Linked DNA regions of Caenorhabditis elegans. The protein of the gene in region 1 purifies or fractionates together with the protein of each later gene. This does not show direct contact. Each region holds a gene or a part of one and is shown in the gene's direction. Other genes may lie near its edges.

Region 1 (3,100 bases):
GTATACCCACCGTCACAAGTTTACACTGAAAAGCGCTGTTCTTTAATGCAGCTTCAAACTGCCTTGTTTCGTTTTCTGCGTAGTTCATATTTTTTTGTATTTGAATTTAATGTAATTTTAGTGTTTCTTTTATTCTTTTCCAAAAAGATAATGCATTTTTTGCTTGAGTTCAAGGATATTTTCATATAAAACGAAACCGGGAAGTATTAATTGCTAAAATTTATGTGGACTATGGTAGTCAAGTCCGCAAACACCAACCGCATTTTCATAATTGCGTACATTTGTTTTTCAAGCTTTTTTCTAGGCCAGAGGTACCAATTTACACGCCGTGTACTCAAATACGATATAAATATCAGAACATTGTTTCGTTCAAAAATTTCGAAGAGAAAACTGAAATTAGATAATTTTCCATTTTTTCCGTGTGGCTTTAGTTATATTTCCAGTACATAATTAACCGAGTTTGGTTCCCGTTTGAAAAAAAATGTATAAGTAATTTAAATCAACAAAAAACAACTTAATAATTAGCTAGAACGAGCAAAATCAGCTAGTAATTTGAGAACAAATAATCTCCCGAAGCTGTGACTTGGTGAAGTTAGCAAATTTGAGATTGTAGCTAAAATTAAATTGTTCAATTTTTAATTTGTTTTTTGAGCAGTCTCTTTATGTAATTCGGCCATTTTGCGTGTGTATAATCGAAAATCTAGAACCTTTATGAAATTTTAACATAAATCAAAGAACCCAAACACCAAAAAATCACAACGTTGAACCTTCTTGGCTAGACTATAGACAATTGTCATCATTTTTACCGCATGTCCCCTTGTTATTTCGTTTTCTTTGGCCACTTGTCACCCCGGTTACACTGGGAAAACCAGGCGGCGTATTTAGTTTGATTCGTTTTACTGCGCAAATATGGTAAGTTAAGTTTTCATCATTTTTCAAATCGATAATTTTTCAACAAAAAAAATTGGTTTAATTTTGTTCGCATTGATAGTTTAATTTCAGACTCACAAACGGACAAATTCCAATTATCGGCTGTGGAGGAGTGTTCAGTGGAGCAGATGCATATGAAAAGATTAGGTAAGTGAACTTCCCAGTTCGAGGTCGAGTGGGGAAATTATCAAAAACCATTCCTATCTTGCTAAAATGACCAAATATTATTATAAAACTTTTCAAAAAAAATTTGAAACATTTTTTGTTTCGTTTCAAAAAGCAGTGAAAAATCGGTTTTCCCCTATTTTTCTTTGGAAATCGACGATCAAAAAAATGTTATTCTCCAGTTTTATGTTCTAATTATGTAAAATATGCATATTTCAACATTTTAAAGGTTTAAACATGATACAGTGATATAGATTTTTCGAAAAGTAAAAACACAGTTTTCAACGCCTTTTGACTCAAAATAAAAATTGAATTATAATATTTGACCATTTGAGTACAATATATGGTAAGAATGGTTTTATTGATTTTCCCACAGGCCGTATAGTCCACCGTTATTCAATCAAAGTATTAATTTCAATTTATTTAACTAAATGTAAAATTTCAGAGCCGGTGCTAGTCTGGTCCAACTCTATTCCGCGTTCGTCTATGAAGGATTTCCGGTAATCGGAAAAATCAAACGAGAACTTGTCGAACTTTTACGGAAAGATGGATTTTCGCATGTTTCGGAAGCAATTGGAGCTGATCACAGAGAAAAAACGAAATAATTATATTCCCAAGATTTTTGTTATTTTTTCAGGTTGACTTCATTTTCATGGGTGTTTCAAAATTGTTTTATAATTGAATTATTTTCTTCCGATGTTCAATGTGCCTTTTCATGAGATTGTAGGGTAATTCTTAGTATTTTCTGCATAAATTATTTGATTTCCTTATGTTTTTTTTTTCAATTTATACTAAAGTTTCTGGTTTTCAACCGAAATATATCACTTTTGAATAATTTTCAACGACTTAGAGACCATTTTTTGTTTCAGGGTTCATCAATTATGTCGGAGCTACGTGTCATTTCTCTCGATGAGGTCTCAAAGCACAACTGGGAAGATGCTGATCAATCGTGTTGGATTGTCATCTCCGGAAAGGTAATTTTTTTTTCATTTTTTAAATTTAAATATCGAAATCATTCCTTACAGGTCTACGATGTGACAAAGTTCTTGAATGAGCATCCAGGAGGTGAAGAAGTCATCACTCAATTAGCCGGTAAAGATGCTACAGTTGGATTCCTCGATGTTGGGCACTCAAAAGATGCTATTGAAATGGCCAATGAATATCTCATTGGTCAATTGCCAGAATCAGACGTTCCAAAAGTCGAGACAGCGGCTGCGAAACCTTCGAAAAACGAAAAATCATCATCTCTCCTCAATGATTTCACCGAAATTATGACTTCACCAACATGGACCAACTTCCTGATTCCAACTACAATGGGACTTGTCATTTATGCCGTGTACAAGTGCATGTTCAATTAAATTACCTTAGCTCTTATCCTATTCTTTTGATCTTATGCGCCCACTTTCTTGAAATGCATCAAAGAACATTTGTTTCTATGGACTTTTATATATGTGATAAAGATTTGTTGTCAATATTTTCATATGTTACTGAAGGAAAAATGGGTGGAGCCTTGGAGATATCGATGTAACTTTAGTCGCAAGATTAGTCCTATTGAAACAATTAAAAAAAATATTCAGATCAAATGCTTCGTCAGATTCTTCGTCCAATTTTGAGTATGGATTTTACACAAAAAACAATTTTCTAATTTCTTGACGATTCAGATTCTTCCCGCCGATTCGCAGATATAAAACCAAAACAAAGTGCGAAGGAGAAGGTGATGGCTGAGAAGACACCGAAAGGAGCACTTGATAAAGCAGACGAACAACAATATGAAGATCCTCACCTCAAGAAACATCCGGGAGGTGTGAATAAGTCAACTGGAGAAGTTGGTGGACCAGCTGGACCAGAGCCAACTCGATATGGTGATTGGGAGAGGAAGGGAAGAGTTTCAGATTTTTGAAATGTTTTATTAATTGCTGTTAAAGTCAAGTCAGATCATCATTGTTTTGTAGTGCAAATAAATAAATGTTTTAAACATAGAGTGACATTAATCGTAATAGGGTAC
Region 2 (7,863 bases), on another chromosome or scaffold:
AATTGAAAATTTCTCCAATTTTTCTCCGCAAATTTCAGACTCAAAATACTACAACACAAGCCGTATGGACTATTTGGCTCCGCGAGTTCCGATGCGTAATAGTGCACTGAAACGTCTATCCGTCTACGTGGCAGAAGTACCGTGCCACGTGGAATTTGAAGAGTTTGACGAGTTACGGTATGGCGGGAATTTGAAAATTTATTTTTGAAAAAAAAAAAAAATTTTTAGCTAAATTTTTTATAAAATTTCGAGTTTTTTGAGCTTCAAAATTCAATAATTTTCAAAACCCACCTTAAGCTCCGCCCCTTTCTGACCCGAAATTTTGTTTCAGCTGGACACCACAAGCTGAGCAGTACCCATCTCCTGTAGATACTGACGGTTATTTCCTCGTCGGATCCCATCATGACGTCATCATGCACTCGGGACGTGTCCGCTACCCAGGAACACTCGAAAAAATGGGACAAACTATTCTGTTGACGCCAATCGCCGAGAAATAACGACGCTCCGCCCACTAATTTGACCGATTTTTCCGGAAAAATCACTTTTATAGCCCCGCCTCTTTTTTTTCTAGGCTCCGCCCCTTTCTTGGCAAATTTCCAGACTCCGCCCTATTCTTGGCAGTTTTATTCGGAAAATGCATTTTTTTTTTCAATTTTCACCTAAAATTCGTATTTCCCAAAAACTTTTGCTCAATTTCCCGATAAAATCGATAAATTGTTAAGCCCCGCCTTCTTTTTCTAAGCCCCTCCCCTTTTTTGGCAATTTTCCAGACTCCGCCCCATTCTTGGCAGTTTTAGTCGGAAAATGCATTTTTTTTTTTCAATTTTCACCTAAAATTCGTATTTCCCAAAAACTTTTGCTCAATTTCTCGATAAAATCGATAAATTGTTAAGCCCCGCCTTCTTTTTCGAGGCTCCGCCCCTTTCTTGGCAATTTTTTTTCAGAAATGGGTAGATCACTCATTTTTTGTGGGAACTTTCAAAATACTTCAACTTTTGCTTATTTTTACGAAAAAAACAAAATAATTTCCAAGCCCCGCCCCTTTCTTGACAATTTTCCAGACCCCGCCCCTTTATTGGCACTTTTAGTCGGATAACTGAATAATTATTTGATTTTCACCTAAAATTCGTATTTCCCAAGGAATTTTAGCTCAATTTCCCGAGAAAATCGATAACTTCCTAAGCCCCGCTCTCTTTTTTCGAGACTCCGCCCCTTTCGAGGCAACTTGTCTGACTCCGCCCCATTCTTGGCAGTTTTAGTCGGAAAATGCTTTTTTTTTTCAATTTTCACCTAAAATTCGTATTTCCCAAGGAATTTTAGCTCAATTTCCCGAGAAAATCGATAACTTGTCAAGCCCCGCCTTCTTTTTCGAGGCTCCGCCCCTTTCGTGGCAATTTGTAAGACTCCGCCCCTTTTTGTTTTTGACAATTGTTCAGATTCCGACCCTTGCTTGGTAACTTTTTTAATATTTCTTGTTGTACATTTTTGTTCGTAATGTATATTTATTGCATAAGCTCCGCCGCCATTTCTTGGCCCCGCCCCCATCCTATGAGGCTCCGCCTCTTTTTCTATACCAACAATTTCTTTTTTGTATTTTATTTCTCTGACATTCCTTTGCTCATTGTCTTTTTTGAAATTTTTTGATATTTTATAATAAGCTAGCCACGCCCCTTTCTTGGGTGTGGCTCCGCCCCTTTATTGGATTTTTTTTCAAAAAAATTTACTCTCTCTCTATTTTTCTTAATTTCTTAATGTCGTCCAGAATCGTTTTTCAAAAACGATTTGAATATTTTTCATCATAAGCCCCGCCCCTTTCCTCCCTAACCACGCCCCCACTTTGCAGAGATGACGTCATCGCTCACAATATGCTCAATTCCAGACGGAGTGAAGGAGGATTTGAAGAAGTTTCGATTCTCGAAGAGTACAACGATGAACGCTTTGATTTGTAAGTCCACCACGCCCATTTCATGGCAGATTTTTCGAAAACTAAGCCACGCCCACTTCTCTAGGCGCCGCCTATTTCTGGGTCAATTTTTGCTAAAAATCGTGAATATAGAATAAGATTAAAAAGGCCACGCCTAGTTAATGGCGACAAATGCAATTCTAAAAATAGGCCACGCCTATTTTTCTAGGCACCGCCCATTTCTCTAGACTCCGCATCGTTAATGGAAATCTGCCAAATTTTATGAGTTTTAGAAAATAAATTCTGGTAGACTTATCGGAAAGTACCATAGCCCCGCCTACTTTTGGAGGCTCCGCCCACATTTTATCCCAGGCTCCGCCCCTTTAATAGAAACCAAAAATTTTCTCAAAACTTGCCGAAAAAATGCAGGTTTATATAGATTCCAAAAAAAAAATTCCAAAAAAATTTGGTCACGCCCACTTGCGGAGGCTCCACCCACTTCTTGGCATAAGTCATTGAAAATGCAAATTTTTGCGAAAAAAACACTGCAACTTTTTCCTCACGAGGGACGAGGAAAAGTGGTTTCTAGGCCATGGCCGAGGGGCCGACAAGTTTCAGCGGCCATTTATCTTGCTTTGTTTTCCGCCTGTTTTCTTTCGTTTTTCATCGATTTTTTCGTTTTTTCTTAATAAAACTGATAAATAAATATTTTTTGCAGATGCTAAAACAATTTCCAAGTAAAAAACTTATGTATTCAGTGGGCAAGCAGCGGTGAAAGTGGTCAATGCAATATGATGGATTACGGGAATACAAAACCTAAACTTTTTCTGAAACATGATACATATGCTGCTTAGATGCTGAAACTACCTGATTTTCATAACGAGACCGCTGAAAAAGTTTTGAGGTTTCCGAAATTCAACTTTTTTTGCGAAAATCTCGGCTTTTTCACCAAAAAAGTTGAATTTTGGAACCTTCAAAACTTTTTCAGCGGTCTCGTTATGAAAATCAGGTAGTTTCAGCATTTAAGCAGCATATGTATTATGTTTCAGAAAAAGTTTAGGTTTTGTATTCCCGTAATCCATCATTTTACATTGACCACTTTCACCGCTGCTTGCCCACTGAATACATAATTTTTTTTATTTGGAAATTGTTTTAGCATCTGCAAAAAGTATTTATTTATCAGTTTTAATAAGAAAAAACGGGAAAAAGCTGTGAAAAACGAAAGAAAACAGGCGGAAAACAAGGCAAAATAAATGGCCGCTGAAACTTGTCGGCCCCTCGGCCATGGCCTAGAAACCACTTTTCCTCGTCCCTCGTGAGGAAAAAGTTGCAGTGAGAAAATTAGTTTCTGGGCTGAAATTTTCGGTTTTTCCCAATTTTTCAGTTGTAAAAATCCAAAAAATTGCCATTTTTCAGTGAAAATCGACCGGGAATCGCATGAGCTTCAATCGGAGCAACTGCTCAATGATTGCTCAATTGAAGAGTTTAAAGAAGAGCTTCCAAGTCAACAACCACGGTTTATTCTACTCAGTTGGTGCAAAAAACATTCGGACGAACGAATTTCATATCCAATGCTTCTGATTTATTATTGCCCAAATGGTAAAATTTTTTTGTCGAAATTTGTCGAAAAATCTCGAGAAAAACGCTAAAAATGTTATGTTTTGCCGGAAAAATCGGGTAAATTCTGAAGTTGTAGAGCTAAACTTAAACGAAAAATGGTCAAAATCTGCTCATTTTAGAAAAAAAACCAAATATCGCCTAGCCCCGCCCCTTTCTTGGCAAATATTTCAAATGTGCGGACTCCTCGTACTCATTCGGTGATTTTTATGCCGGAAAACTCAAAATTCTACAGTTTTCTACTTGAAACTTTACATTTTTGAAGAAAATTTGCGCATTTTCACTAGGAATTCAAAATTTGTGTAAGCTCCGCCCATTTCTTGGCCAATATTTAAAAATGTGTTACATATTCCGCTTTTTCGGTGAATTTTTTGCCGGAAAACTCAAAATTCCACAGTTTTCAAGCAATTTTGCGTACTTTCACAAGAAACTAAAAGTTTGCGTAAGCTCCGCCCCCTTTCTTGGTAAATATTTCCACAATATCCAAACTCCGCCTACGTTTTAGATGAATTTTCCGCCGAGAGACTCAGAAGAAGAATTGTCTTTTCGTCTTTTGAACTGATATTGGTTTGGGGTTAGTGAAGGGATATGGTCGGGGTACTGTAGGGGTACGGTAGGATTACTGTAGTTTTGGAAAAATTGTCTTTTCGTCTTTTGAAGGGATATTGGTTTGGGGTTAGTGGAGGGATATGGTCGGGGTACTGTAGGGGTACGGTAGGATTACTGTAGTTTTGGAAAAATTGTCTTTTCGTCTTTTGAAGGGATATTGGTTTGGGGTTAGTGGAGGGATATGGTCGGGGTACTGTAGGGGTACGGTAGGGGTACTGTAGTTTTGGAAAAATTGTCTTTTCGTCTTTTGAAGGGATATTGGTTTAGGGTTAGTGGAGGGATATGGTCGGGGTACTGTAGGGGTACGGTAGGATTACTGTAGTTTTGGAAAAATTGTCTTTTCGTCTTTTGAAGGGATATTGGTTTAGGGTTAGTGGAGGGATATGGTCGGGGTACTGTAGGGGTACGGTAGGATTACTGTAGTTTTGGAAAAATTGTCTTTTCGTCTTTTGAAGGGATATTGGTTTAGGGTTAGTGGAGGGATATGGTCGGGGTACTGTAGGGGTACGGAAGGATTACTGTAGTTTTGGAAAAATTGTCTTTTCGTCTTTTGAAGGGATATTGGTTTAGGGTTAGTGGAGGGATATGGTCGGGGTACTGTAGGGGTACGGTAGGATTACTGTAGTTTTGGAAAAATTGTCTTTTCGTCTTTTGAAGGGATATTGGTTTGGGATTAGTGGTGGGATATGGTCGGGGTACTGTTGGGGTACTGTAGGGGTACTGTAGTTTTGGAAAAATTGTCTTTTCGTCTTTTGAAGGGATATTGGTTTGGGGTTAGTGAAGGGATATGGTCGGGGTACTGTAGGGGTACGGTAGGATTACTGTAGTTTTGGAAAAATTGTCTTTTCGTCTTTTGAAGGGATATTGGTTTGGGGTTAGTGGAGGGATATGGTCGGGGTACTGTAGGGGTACGGTAGGATTACTGTAGTTTTGGAAAAATTGTCTTTTCGTCTTTTGAAGGGATATTGGTTTGGGGTTAGTGGAGGGATATGGTCGGGGTACTGTAGGGGTACGGTAGGGGTACTGTAGTTTTGGAAAAATTGTCTTTTCGTCTTTTGAAGGGATATTGGTTTAGGGTTAGTGGAGGGATATGGTCGGGGTACTGTAGGGGTACGGTAGGATTACTGTAGTTTTGGAAAAATTGTCTTTTCGTCTTTTGAAGGGATATTGGTTTAGGGTTAGTGGAGGGATATGGTCGGGGTACTGTAGGGGTACGGTAGGATTACTGTAGTTTTGGAAAAATTGTCTTTTCGTCTTTTGAAGGGATATTGGTTTAGGGTTAGTGGAGGGATATGGTCGGGGTACTGTAGGGGTACGGAAGGATTACTGTAGTTTTGGAAAAATTGTCTTTTCGTCTTTTGAAGGGATATTGGTTTAGGGTTAGTGGAGGGATATGGTCGGGGTACTGTAGGGGTACGGTAGGATTACTGTAGTTTTGGAAAAATTGTCTTTTCGTCTTTTGAAGGGATATTGGTTTGGGATTAGTGGTGGGATATGGTCGGGGTACTGTTGGGGTACTGTAGGGGTACTGTAGTTTTGGAAAAATTGTCTTTTCGTCTTTTGAAGGGATATTGGTTTGGGGTTAGTGGAGGGATATGGTCGGGGTACTGTAGGGGTACGGTAAGATTACTGTAGTTTTGGAAAAATTGTCTTTTCGTCTTTTGAAGGGATATTGGTTTAGGGTTAGTGAAGGGATATGGTCGGGGTACTGTAGGGGTACGGAAGGATTACTGTAGTTTTGGAAAAATTGTCTTTTCGTCTTTTGAAGGGATATTGGTTTAGGGTTAGTGGAGGGATATGGTCGGGGTACTGTAGGGGTACGGTAGGATTACTGTAGTTTTGGAAAAATTGTCTTTTCGTCTTTTGAAGGGATATTGGTTTGGGATTAGTGGGGGGATATGGTCGGGGTACTGTAGGGGTACTGTAGTTTTGGAAAAATTAATCCTTGAATTTTAACACTTTTGAAAAAATCCAAAAAATGTTTGGCGCGAATTTTGAATTTTCTGACAGAACAAATTCAGAATGTGAGTAAGACCCCGCCCCTTTCTTGGGGGCAAATTTTTCGAATGTGCGCCCTCTGCCTACTTTTTGGTGAATTTTCTGCCGGAAAACTTAATATTCCACAGTTTTCTGCTTGGATCTGTACATTTTTGAAGTAATTTTGCGCATTTTCACTAGAAGTTCAAATTTTTGCCTAGCCCCGCCCCCCTTTCTTGGCAAATTTACAGACTCCGCCTATTTTTCGTGAGTTTTTGTTGCCGGAGAACTCAAAATTCTACAGTTTTCTACTTTTGGAACTTTATATTTTTGAAAAACTTTGCAGATTTTAATGAAAAATTCGAATTGTTGTTTTTAGCCCCGCCCCTTTCTTGGCCAAATTTTCAAAAATGCCGATTTTGCCCATTTTCTAAAACTTTGTGTGGTCGAAAATGTCAGCATTTTACGATTCGAAGCTTAAATTTTTGAACTTTTAAAGGAAATGTGATGTTAGGCTCCGTCCACTTAATTGAAGGCACATGTTTATCGAATTTTCCAAGAAAGGGGCGGGGTTTCGCCAATTTTATCCAAAAAAAATTTCACGGAAATGTAAAATTTTGTCAAAATTTTAGAATTTCGTGATGAATTTTCGATTTTTTTGAAATTGAAAAAAAGGCGTGGCTTGCTGGACTTGGCCCCGCCCCCTCTTTCTTGACTAATTTCTTTGAGAATGCAATTTTTTCTGGGATGATTTTGCCGGAAATCTTAGAAATCCCCACTTTTCTGCTTGAAAGTTTACATTTCACTGCAACTTTCTCCTCACGAGGGACGAGGAAAAGTGGTTTCTAGGCCATGGCCGAGGGGCCGACAAGTTTCAGCGGCCATTTATCTTGCTTTGTTTTCCGCCTGTTTTCTTTCGTTTTTCACTGATTTTTTTCGTTTTTTCTTAATAAAACTGATAAATAAATATTTTTTGCAGATGCTAAAACAATTTCCAAGTGAAAAAATTATGTATTCAGTGGGCAAGCAGCGGTGAAAGTGGTCAATGCAATATGATGGATTACGGGAATACAAAATCCAAACTTTTTCCCAAACATGATACATATGCTGTTTGGATGCTAAAAGTACCTGATTTTCATAACGAGACCGCTGAAAAAGTTTTGAGATTTTCAAAATTCAAATTTTTTAGTGAAAAAGTCGAGATTTTTGCACAAAATGTCGAATTTTGAAAAACTCAAAACTTTTTCAGCGGTCTCGTTATGAAAATCAGGTAATTTCATATGTATTATGTTTCAGAAAAAGTTTAGGTTTTGTATTCCCGTAATCCATCATTTTACATTGACCACTTTCACCGCTGCTTGCCCACTGAATACATAATTTTTTCACTTGGAAATTGTTTTAGCATCTGCAAAAAATATTTATTTATCAGTTTTAATAAGAAAAAACGAAAAAAATCGATGAAAAACGAAAGAAAACAGGCGGAAAACAAAGCAAGATAAATGGCCGCTGAAACTTGTCGGCCCCTCGGCCATGGCCTAGAAACCACTTCTCGTCCCTCGTGAGGAAAAAGTTGCAGTGCATTTGTGAAAAAAAATTCACGGGTTTCAACAAAAATTTAGAATGTTTGCTTAGCTCCGCCCCTTTCTCCTTGCTCAGTTTAGGCTCCACCCACCTAATGGAAAACAAAAAAAAAAGGATTTTTTCACAGGAAGCAGCCCGGAACTCCAAATGCTGTACGCTGGGAGCCGTAATTTCAT
Region 3 (7,493 bases), on another chromosome or scaffold:
AATTTCAGTTGCTTTTCTCCTTTGACAAAAATTAACAAATAAAATGAATATTTTAGGAGCCAAATAAAAAAAATTAAACAAAAAAGAACAGTCCTCATTTGGATTTAGATTTCTGTAATTGTAAGTCGTAAATCCGCAACATCTAGATAATCGTCAAATGGGGCTCAGACAGCTCAAACCCTGGCTTTTTGAATGATTGGCAACCAACGTTGGTGAAATTTTCTCATTTTTAAATCGCTCACCACTTCTTTATTCTAAAGAGTTCTCTGGTCACTCACCTATAAATCCAAAAAAAAGTGCTTCGATACACAAAATTTTATTCTCTTTTCAAAGAAAAAGGGACCTTTTCCTCTATGCTATCGATCACCTGCGAATAGAACCTAACGGAAAACAAAAACAAAAAGAGCAACTGAGCCCCGGAGCCTCACCAAAACCAATTATCAACGGCGCGGAACATCTTTTCCCCTCTATTTCTGCCATCACATTCCGTTTCGAGAAAAAAAAGAGCAACTTTTTCCTGCTCTGAGCCATAGGGTGCTCCTTTATTTCCGGTTGGTCCCTCTAGCTCTCCATTTCTCAAAACGAGCTGCTTGTTGCTCCCTTTTTGAGCTCATTCTGTGCTCGTTTCTCGAGGAGAATTGCCCGGTGCAATGAATGTATTCAATTGTTGTCTTGTTGGTGAGTCAAATTTGTATGAAAAAAAATTCAAGAAATGTATTGTATTGTTGTCTACGTGTGATCCAGAGTATCTTCAGAAGGTGTGGTTTTTTTTCTGAACTCTAAATTAAAAAAAAAACACATTTTCGGCCTGCTCCTGACACTGAGTTGACATGTCCTTCGCTTAGACTCATGGGAATGTAGAATTGGTTTCAAAAGCAAAACACGCAAACTCTGGTCCCCCGCAGCTTTTACATCGATTTCCAAATGTTTTTTGTTCGTTTTCTCGGTTTCAAAAGACAATTTTATCCGTATCAAAAGGTCATACAGGGAAATTTCGGAACAAAATTGAAAGAAAAATCCTTGAATAATTGAAAATCATGTTCAAAAATTACGATTTGCTTAGTTTTATCTGATTTTCTGAGCATATTCTATATTTCGAAACCCATTGAATGTGGCAATTGTTTTTTTGGTGTGTTGTGCCTCACTCCAATACCAATTTCCGTGACGATTAAATTGAAAACAAGACCGAAAAACCAAAAGAGAAACAAAAAAATAAAATCTAGTTTTTTTTTCTCCCCCTGTCACATTGAATTTATATTTTTATCCGTTTCCAATTAGGTTCATCCGTTTTGTTTGCCATCGATAGCTAATTGATGACAATCAAATAAATTAATAGATAAAGTTTCTATTTCCATTAACTCAAATTTCCTTTATTCTGTCAACTAAATTTATGTTGTTTCGTGCTCAGAAAATATGAGAAAAAAAACAGAAAAATGCATGCACAAAAAAGTTGACGCTAATCTTTGTCTCCCCAACTCCGAAGGCTCAAAGAGCACGCAAAGGGCTTATCGATTTTAAGAATTACACATTCCTTAAAAAAAGCTCTAACTCTAAAAATTATTTTATGTTTCCATTCTCAATTGCTGTATCCCCAAGAAGAGGTAAAAATTTGTTTTTTTTTTCTCTATGTTGTGAGCCTGATTGCTCTGCTTCTTCTGACTTTTTCGTTGAACAAAAATCAAATTTTATTTCAAATTCATAGATATTCTGTTTTGCAGACCCCGAAAATCGTGCGGCAGGCTCAAACGAGGAGGAAAACTATCAAAAAAAGACAACAACCGACGGTTTCACAGCAAAAGCCGACGGAATCAAAATGGCTGACGATGAGGAAGAAATTATTCAAAAAGTCGAAGTGAAGCCGGATGAATTCAATGGATTAATTGGATCAATTGCTGGTAACCTGATTAGAGATAAGGTTAGTTTAATTTTTGGTTAGAATATTTTTTTTTTAAATTTGCTACATAGACATGTTGAAATTTAATTGCAACCTAAAACTAATTATCTCACAGGTCGGTGGCGCCGGTGGTGATATCCTTGGAGGCCTTGCCAGTAACTTCTTCGGAGGTGGAGGCGGCGGAGGAGGCGGCGGCGGAGGCGGAGGTTTCGGTGGTGGAAATGGAGGATTCGGTGGAGGTATTTTTATTTTCAAAATTGTCAGACAAAAATTCCCTAAAAATTCAAGTTCCTTTTTTTGTGTTAGAAAACATTTAGATTCACTCAAAACATCACCGTGTGGCTTAGATCAGTGAATTTTTTCTCACACCTTATATGTTGTCCATGTTATCGTAATCCCATTTGCTGCTACAGTAATCCATAGGTTCGAACTACGATCAAGGCGGGAATGGGAACAGCGGAGATCAACAAAAAAGGAAACGAGACATGGCGAAAGACTTGATTGGAGGAATATTCGATAATGTGGTGAATAGGAAAGGAAAGAAGGAGCAGGATAACTATGGTAGCGTTTGTGTTTTTTTTATTTGCTGTTTTGTGCTTTCTATAGATTTGATTATATAATTAGCTTAATCATTTTCTCAAATTTTCTGAACATGGTCTGTAATTTATTATCCTCGGTTTTTTTTCTAGTTTTTCATTCTTGGACGTCTGGGAATGTGAAGCTTCTTTGTCTTTTGTTCCGTAATTGTTCACCAATCTTCAAGCTTTTTTCTTGAAAATAGCGCAATTCCACGCTCATAGCACAAATTCATCAACTTATGTTAAAAATCAGGTGGAGGTCGACAACAGCCGCCACCAAATAACAATTTTGGTGGTGGAGGTGGATCTGGCGGTGGCGGAGGGTTCGGAGACATTCTTGGGGGACTTTTGAGCGGCGGAGGTGGCGGCGGTGGACAAAGAGGCGGCGGAGGGCAAAATTACGGTCTGAGAGTTTGAAAATACAATAAGTTAAGCTTCTACGCACTCACCAACACTCACTTAAATACTAACAACACCACTCATTTCCAAAATTTGATTTGAAAAATATGGCTATTTTGAAAGAAGCTTTAGACTTTTAAATTCTCCTGTTAATTCGCTTTTGACTGATGATTCGTGATTTTCCTTTAAAAATGCAATATTTTGCATGTTTGCTGTGATATTTCGTGTGAAATTTAGGCGGAGGCGGCAGTGGCGGTGGCGGTGGTGGAAACAACATCGGAAGCTTGGTCGGATCACTTATTGGTGGTGGTGGTATGCATTAGGATTGTAGTGTGCATGTAGTATCATAAATGTTGTGTTAATATTTTAATAGTTAATAGAGCTGATGATCAGAACATTTATAGATCTTATTGACACTTATTTATCACATCTAATTGTATTTCATTTCTGAACTATCTACACAAATGTGGCACCCATGAAATTCAAGCTAGAGTAATATTTTAGGCGGAGGTGGTAACTACGGCGGTGGTGGTGGAAATCAAGGAGGCGGCGGAGGCGGTGGCTTTAACTTCAATGATATCGGTGGACTCATCAACAGTATGGGAGGTGGTGGTGGTGGTGGCCAGAGACAAGGTATAGAACATTTATTAATATACTTTGAATAATTTGAAAAATTTTAGGCGGTGGTGGAGGAGGCTTCGGAGATATCCTCGGAGGAATCGGATCTCTCATTGGCGGAGGAGGCGGTGGCCAGTACAATGGTGGAGGTGGAAATGTGAACCCGAATAATCTCAACGGTGGAATGGTGAATGTTATCGGAAATCTCATTGGAGAAGCTGCTCACAGATTCCTCGGCGTTGATCCGGGTACAGGCAGAATCATTGGAGCTGTCGCTGGAAATGTGATTATGGGACTTGGTGGAAAAGATAATTCTCTTGGAAATATCGGAAAAGTTATTCTGGACAATATTATTTCTGGAAAGTTCCGTAGGGATGTTGATCCATTCGTTCGTCCAGGACCAGATCCAGATAGAGGAGGTGGTGGAAGTGGTCCAAGCCCTATTTCACCAAGACCAACTACCGAACCACAAGACTTCTATGAGCTCAGAGATCAATGTCTTGAGGTGAGTGTTCAAAACATATCATTTTTAAAATAATAAATTCAGAGCAAACGACTATTCGAGGATCCACAATTCTTGGCCAATGATAGTTCGTTATTCTTCTCGAAACGTCCACCAAAACGTGTAGAATGGCTTCGTCCTGGAGAAATCACAAGAGAGCCACAACTGATTACAGAGGGTCACTCGAGATTTGATGTTATTCAGGTTAGCTCTTGGATTATTTTCAGAATTTTTAATATTTGAAATGTACTATTAAAATTATATATTCTTTCAGGGAGAACTCGGAGATTGTTGGCTCTTGGCTGCTGCAGCCAATTTAACTCTCAAGGATGAGCTCTTCTATCGTGTGGTTCCACCAGATCAATCTTTCACTGAAAACTACGCTGGAATCTTCCATTTCCAATTCTGGCAGTACGGAAAATGGGTGGATGTTGTTATTGACGACAGATTACCAACGAGTAACGGCGAGCTTCTCTATATGCATTCTGCTAGTAATAATGAGTTCTGGAGTGCACTTTTAGAGAAGGCATATGCAAAGTAAGTTCGGACTTTTGACCGACATTTATGAAGGAATAAACTAGTTAATTAATTTTCAAGATTGTTCGGATCATACGAGGCTCTCAAGGGAGGTACCACATCTGAAGCACTTGAGGACATGACTGGAGGACTCACCGAGTTTATCGACCTCAAAAACCCACCAAGAAACTTGATGCAAATGATGATGAGAGGGTAGGGATTAAAGTCTAATTTACATTATTATCCAAAAACGAGTTGTGCCAAACTACAGTACCCGGTCTCGACGCGACAATTTTTGTTAATTATGAATGTCTGTGCGCCTTTAATGAGTACTGTAGTTTCAAACTTTCGTTGATGCCGAATTTTCATTGATTTTGCATAGTTTTTTGTTAGAAACAGAAATAAAACAATTAAGAACACACAAACTATGAAAAATCGATAAAAAATTCCACAAAAATAAAATCTTGAAAGTAAAGTACTCTTTAAAAGTGATCCCCTATTTATATTCGACAAAAAGTTGTCGTGTCGAGACCGATTACCGTATTTTTTGCGCAAATTTTAGCGTCCATGTATTAACAAAATTTCAGATTCGAGATGGGATCCCTATTCGGTTGCTCCATCGAAGCCGATCCAAATGTTTGGGAAGCAAAAATGTCGAATGGTTTAGTGAAAGGACACGCCTATTCAATTACCGGATGCCGAATTGTTGACGGACCAAATGGACAAACTTGCATTCTTCGAATCCGTAATCCATGGGGAAATGAACAGGAATGGAATGGACCATGGTCAGACAATTCACGCGAATGGCGAAGTGTTCCAGATTCTGTAAAACAAGATATGGGACTGAAATTCGATCATGATGGAGAGTTTTGGATGTCATTTGATGATTTTATGAGGAATTTCGAGAAAATGGAAATTTGCAATCTTGGACCAGATGTTATGGATGAAGTCTATCAAATGACTGGTGTCAAGGCCGCTGGAATGGTTTGGGCTGCAAATACTCATGATGGTGCATGGGTTAGAAATCAAACAGCTGGAGGATGCAGGAATTACATCAGTAAGTAAATATTCATCTACAAATATTTTCAATTTTCAATTCAGACACTTTCGCCAACAATCCACAATTCCGAGTTCAACTTACCGATTCGGATCCTGATGATGATGATGAACTCTGCACTGTAATATTCGCCGTTTTGCAAAAATACAGGTAGCGCCACCAGATAGGGAAATCATTTTTATTTTTCCAATTTTTAAGACGTAATCTGAAACAAGATGGACTTGACAACGTGCCAATTGGATTTGCTGTCTATGACGTGAGACTATTGTTATTTTGAAGAAAAAACAGGATTTGGCCTGAAATTTACGACAATTCTAGAAAACCTCAACTTTAAATAGAATAGTTGGAACATTTGAAAACTTAACTTTCCCCTAAAACTACTAAAAAATTTTTAAACCTTTTAAATACGCTAAAAATTTACAGATGAACAATGTAAGTTGGCTAATTGAAAATCTTGTGAAACCGGTAAAATTGTCCAAATCACGTCGTTTCTAGTTCAAAATAACCCACATTCAGTGAACCTCACCCACTTTGTTTAGTGTGTATTGTTTTATTGTTGAAGTACACGTGCTGATTTTTTGACATTATCTAACCAATATTTATGTTTTGTTGTTTACTATTGGATGTGTGAAACGTATCAAATAACAGAAAAATGCAGTCATTTGAAAGAAAATTGTATTTTCTGTCTCTGTGTTCGTCCGAACCAAAGATTTTTTCAAGCTTTATAAAATTACATACTATTCAGGCCGGAAATAACCGTGGTCGACTGAGTAAACAGTTCTTCGCTGCCAACAAATCCGCGATGAGATCGGCCGCTTTCATCAATTTAAGAGAGGTAATTTTCTATCTTCAAAATTAAATTTTAAAAACCAAATTTTCAGATGACTGGCCGCTTCCGTGTACCCCCGGGCAACTATGTTGTCGTTCCATCAACATTTGAACCAAACGAGGAAGCCGAGTTCATGCTCCGTGTCTACACGAATGGATTTATCGAGTCGGAGTGAGTAGTGAATATCAAGATTTTGTACTTTGTTTTGATTTAACAGAATATATAAGCTGAGCTTCTGCAGGTACTAATAATTCATTGATTCAATATTTTCCAGGGAACTGTAAGCCATTCTACTCACAACTACAACAACAAATAGCAAGATTGGATCTTCCTATACCTATTGTTTTGATCCACTTCGTTATGTATAAATCTCTCTGTCACTCGTTCTATTTTCATCATTAACCCCCCTACCCTCTCTCTCTTTCCTCAATCGTCCCTCTTTTCTCCACTCTTTCTGCCTAATTTCCCGTCGATGTTTGCCGGATCTGCTCTGTAGAATTGTAATATTTTGATATGCTTGTTGTTTCACTGTATTCTTTTTTTTTGCCTTTTCCAGAGTAAATAAATTTTCTAGTTCTGATGAAAGATATCCAAAATTTCCGTCTTTTCAAAAATCAAGCCTGTCAAAAGATTAAGCATACGAAGTATTTTTAAATGAACAAAATTATCTTATATTCTTCAACACTTAAAAAATATTCACAGATTTCATTAGTATTGACTCTGTCGCTACGAATAATACCACATACACTAAACCATTTCTGATCTAGCTTTAAAAATTTCTCTTTTTTTAAAAATCAATTAGGAAAGATAAAAATATATTTACCTCGAGTAGTGGGAGAAACTGTAAAAAATCACGTTTTACGGTGAAGTAATAATACTTTTTTTTAGCAGCTTCGAACAAAAGTCTTTTTTCCAGCCCAATTTTGCATAAAATTTGTTTTTATTAAAATGAGAAAAAATTCATTTCTTTAATCGATTTCCAAAGCTTCGACATTACCGTAATCTTTAAAGGCGCACATTCTATTCTGCAGTAATCGTATCCTTCGTGTCGAGACCGGTCGGTACCGTATACTTTGGACTCACTAACTTTTTTTAATTTT

What was found.
Region 2: the proteins of cytb-5.2 (region 1) and Y50D7A.10 fractionate together in Caenorhabditis elegans (co-fractionation; one large-scale study listed by BioGRID). This does not show direct contact.
Region 3: the proteins of cytb-5.2 (region 1) and clp-1 fractionate together in Caenorhabditis elegans (co-fractionation; one large-scale study listed by BioGRID). This does not show direct contact.

The regions. Positions count from the first base shown.
Region 1 is NC_003279.8:6,739,312-6,742,411, forward strand, and holds cytb-5.2 (Cytochrome b5 heme-binding domain-containing protein), read left to right. Parts: upstream 1-1,964; 5' UTR 1,965-1,976; coding exon 1,977-2,069; intron 2,070-2,120; coding exon 2,121-2,453; 3' UTR 2,454-2,565; downstream 2,566-3,100. Other genes in the region: dhod-1 (Dihydroorotate dehydrogenase (quinone), mitochondrial), read left to right, coding at 1,003-1,077, 1,541-1,700; W02D3.12 (Succinate dehydrogenase assembly factor 4, mitochondrial), read left to right, coding at 2,678-2,708, 2,757-2,995.
Region 2 is NC_003281.10:313,617-321,479, forward strand, and holds the start of Y50D7A.10 (ADF-H domain-containing protein), read left to right. Parts: upstream 1-1,843; 5' UTR 1,844-1,845; coding exon 1,846-1,945; intron 1,946-3,319; coding exon 3,320-3,502; intron 3,503-7,814; coding exon 7,815-7,863. Other genes in the region: Y50D7A.1 (F-box domain-containing protein), read left to right, coding at 39-177, 332-497.
Region 3 is NC_003281.10:7,979,356-7,986,848, forward strand, and holds clp-1 (Calpain clp-1), read left to right. Parts: upstream 1-1,718; 5' UTR 1,719-1,813; coding exon 1,814-1,915; intron 1,916-2,009; coding exon 2,010-2,133; coding exon of another isoform or gene 2,134-2,249; exon of another isoform or gene 2,250-2,317; coding exon 2,318-2,455; intron 2,456-3,108; coding exon of another isoform or gene 3,109-3,183; intron 3,184-3,375; coding exon 3,376-3,504; intron 3,505-3,551; coding exon 3,552-3,994; intron 3,995-4,036; coding exon 4,037-4,195; intron 4,196-4,265; coding exon 4,266-4,528; intron 4,529-4,588; coding exon 4,589-4,720; intron 4,721-5,094; coding exon 5,095-5,564; intron 5,565-5,608; coding exon 5,609-5,714; intron 5,715-5,762; coding exon 5,763-5,820; intron 5,821-5,987; coding exon of another isoform or gene 5,988-5,996; intron 5,997-6,309; coding exon 6,310-6,399; intron 6,400-6,445; coding exon 6,446-6,564; intron 6,565-6,667; coding exon 6,668-6,677; 3' UTR 6,678-6,973; downstream 6,974-7,493. UniProt on the Caenorhabditis elegans protein: Calcium-regulated non-lysosomal thiol-protease which catalyzes limited proteolysis of substrates. Required for assembly and maintenance of integrin attachment complexes which are essential for maintenance of adult muscle.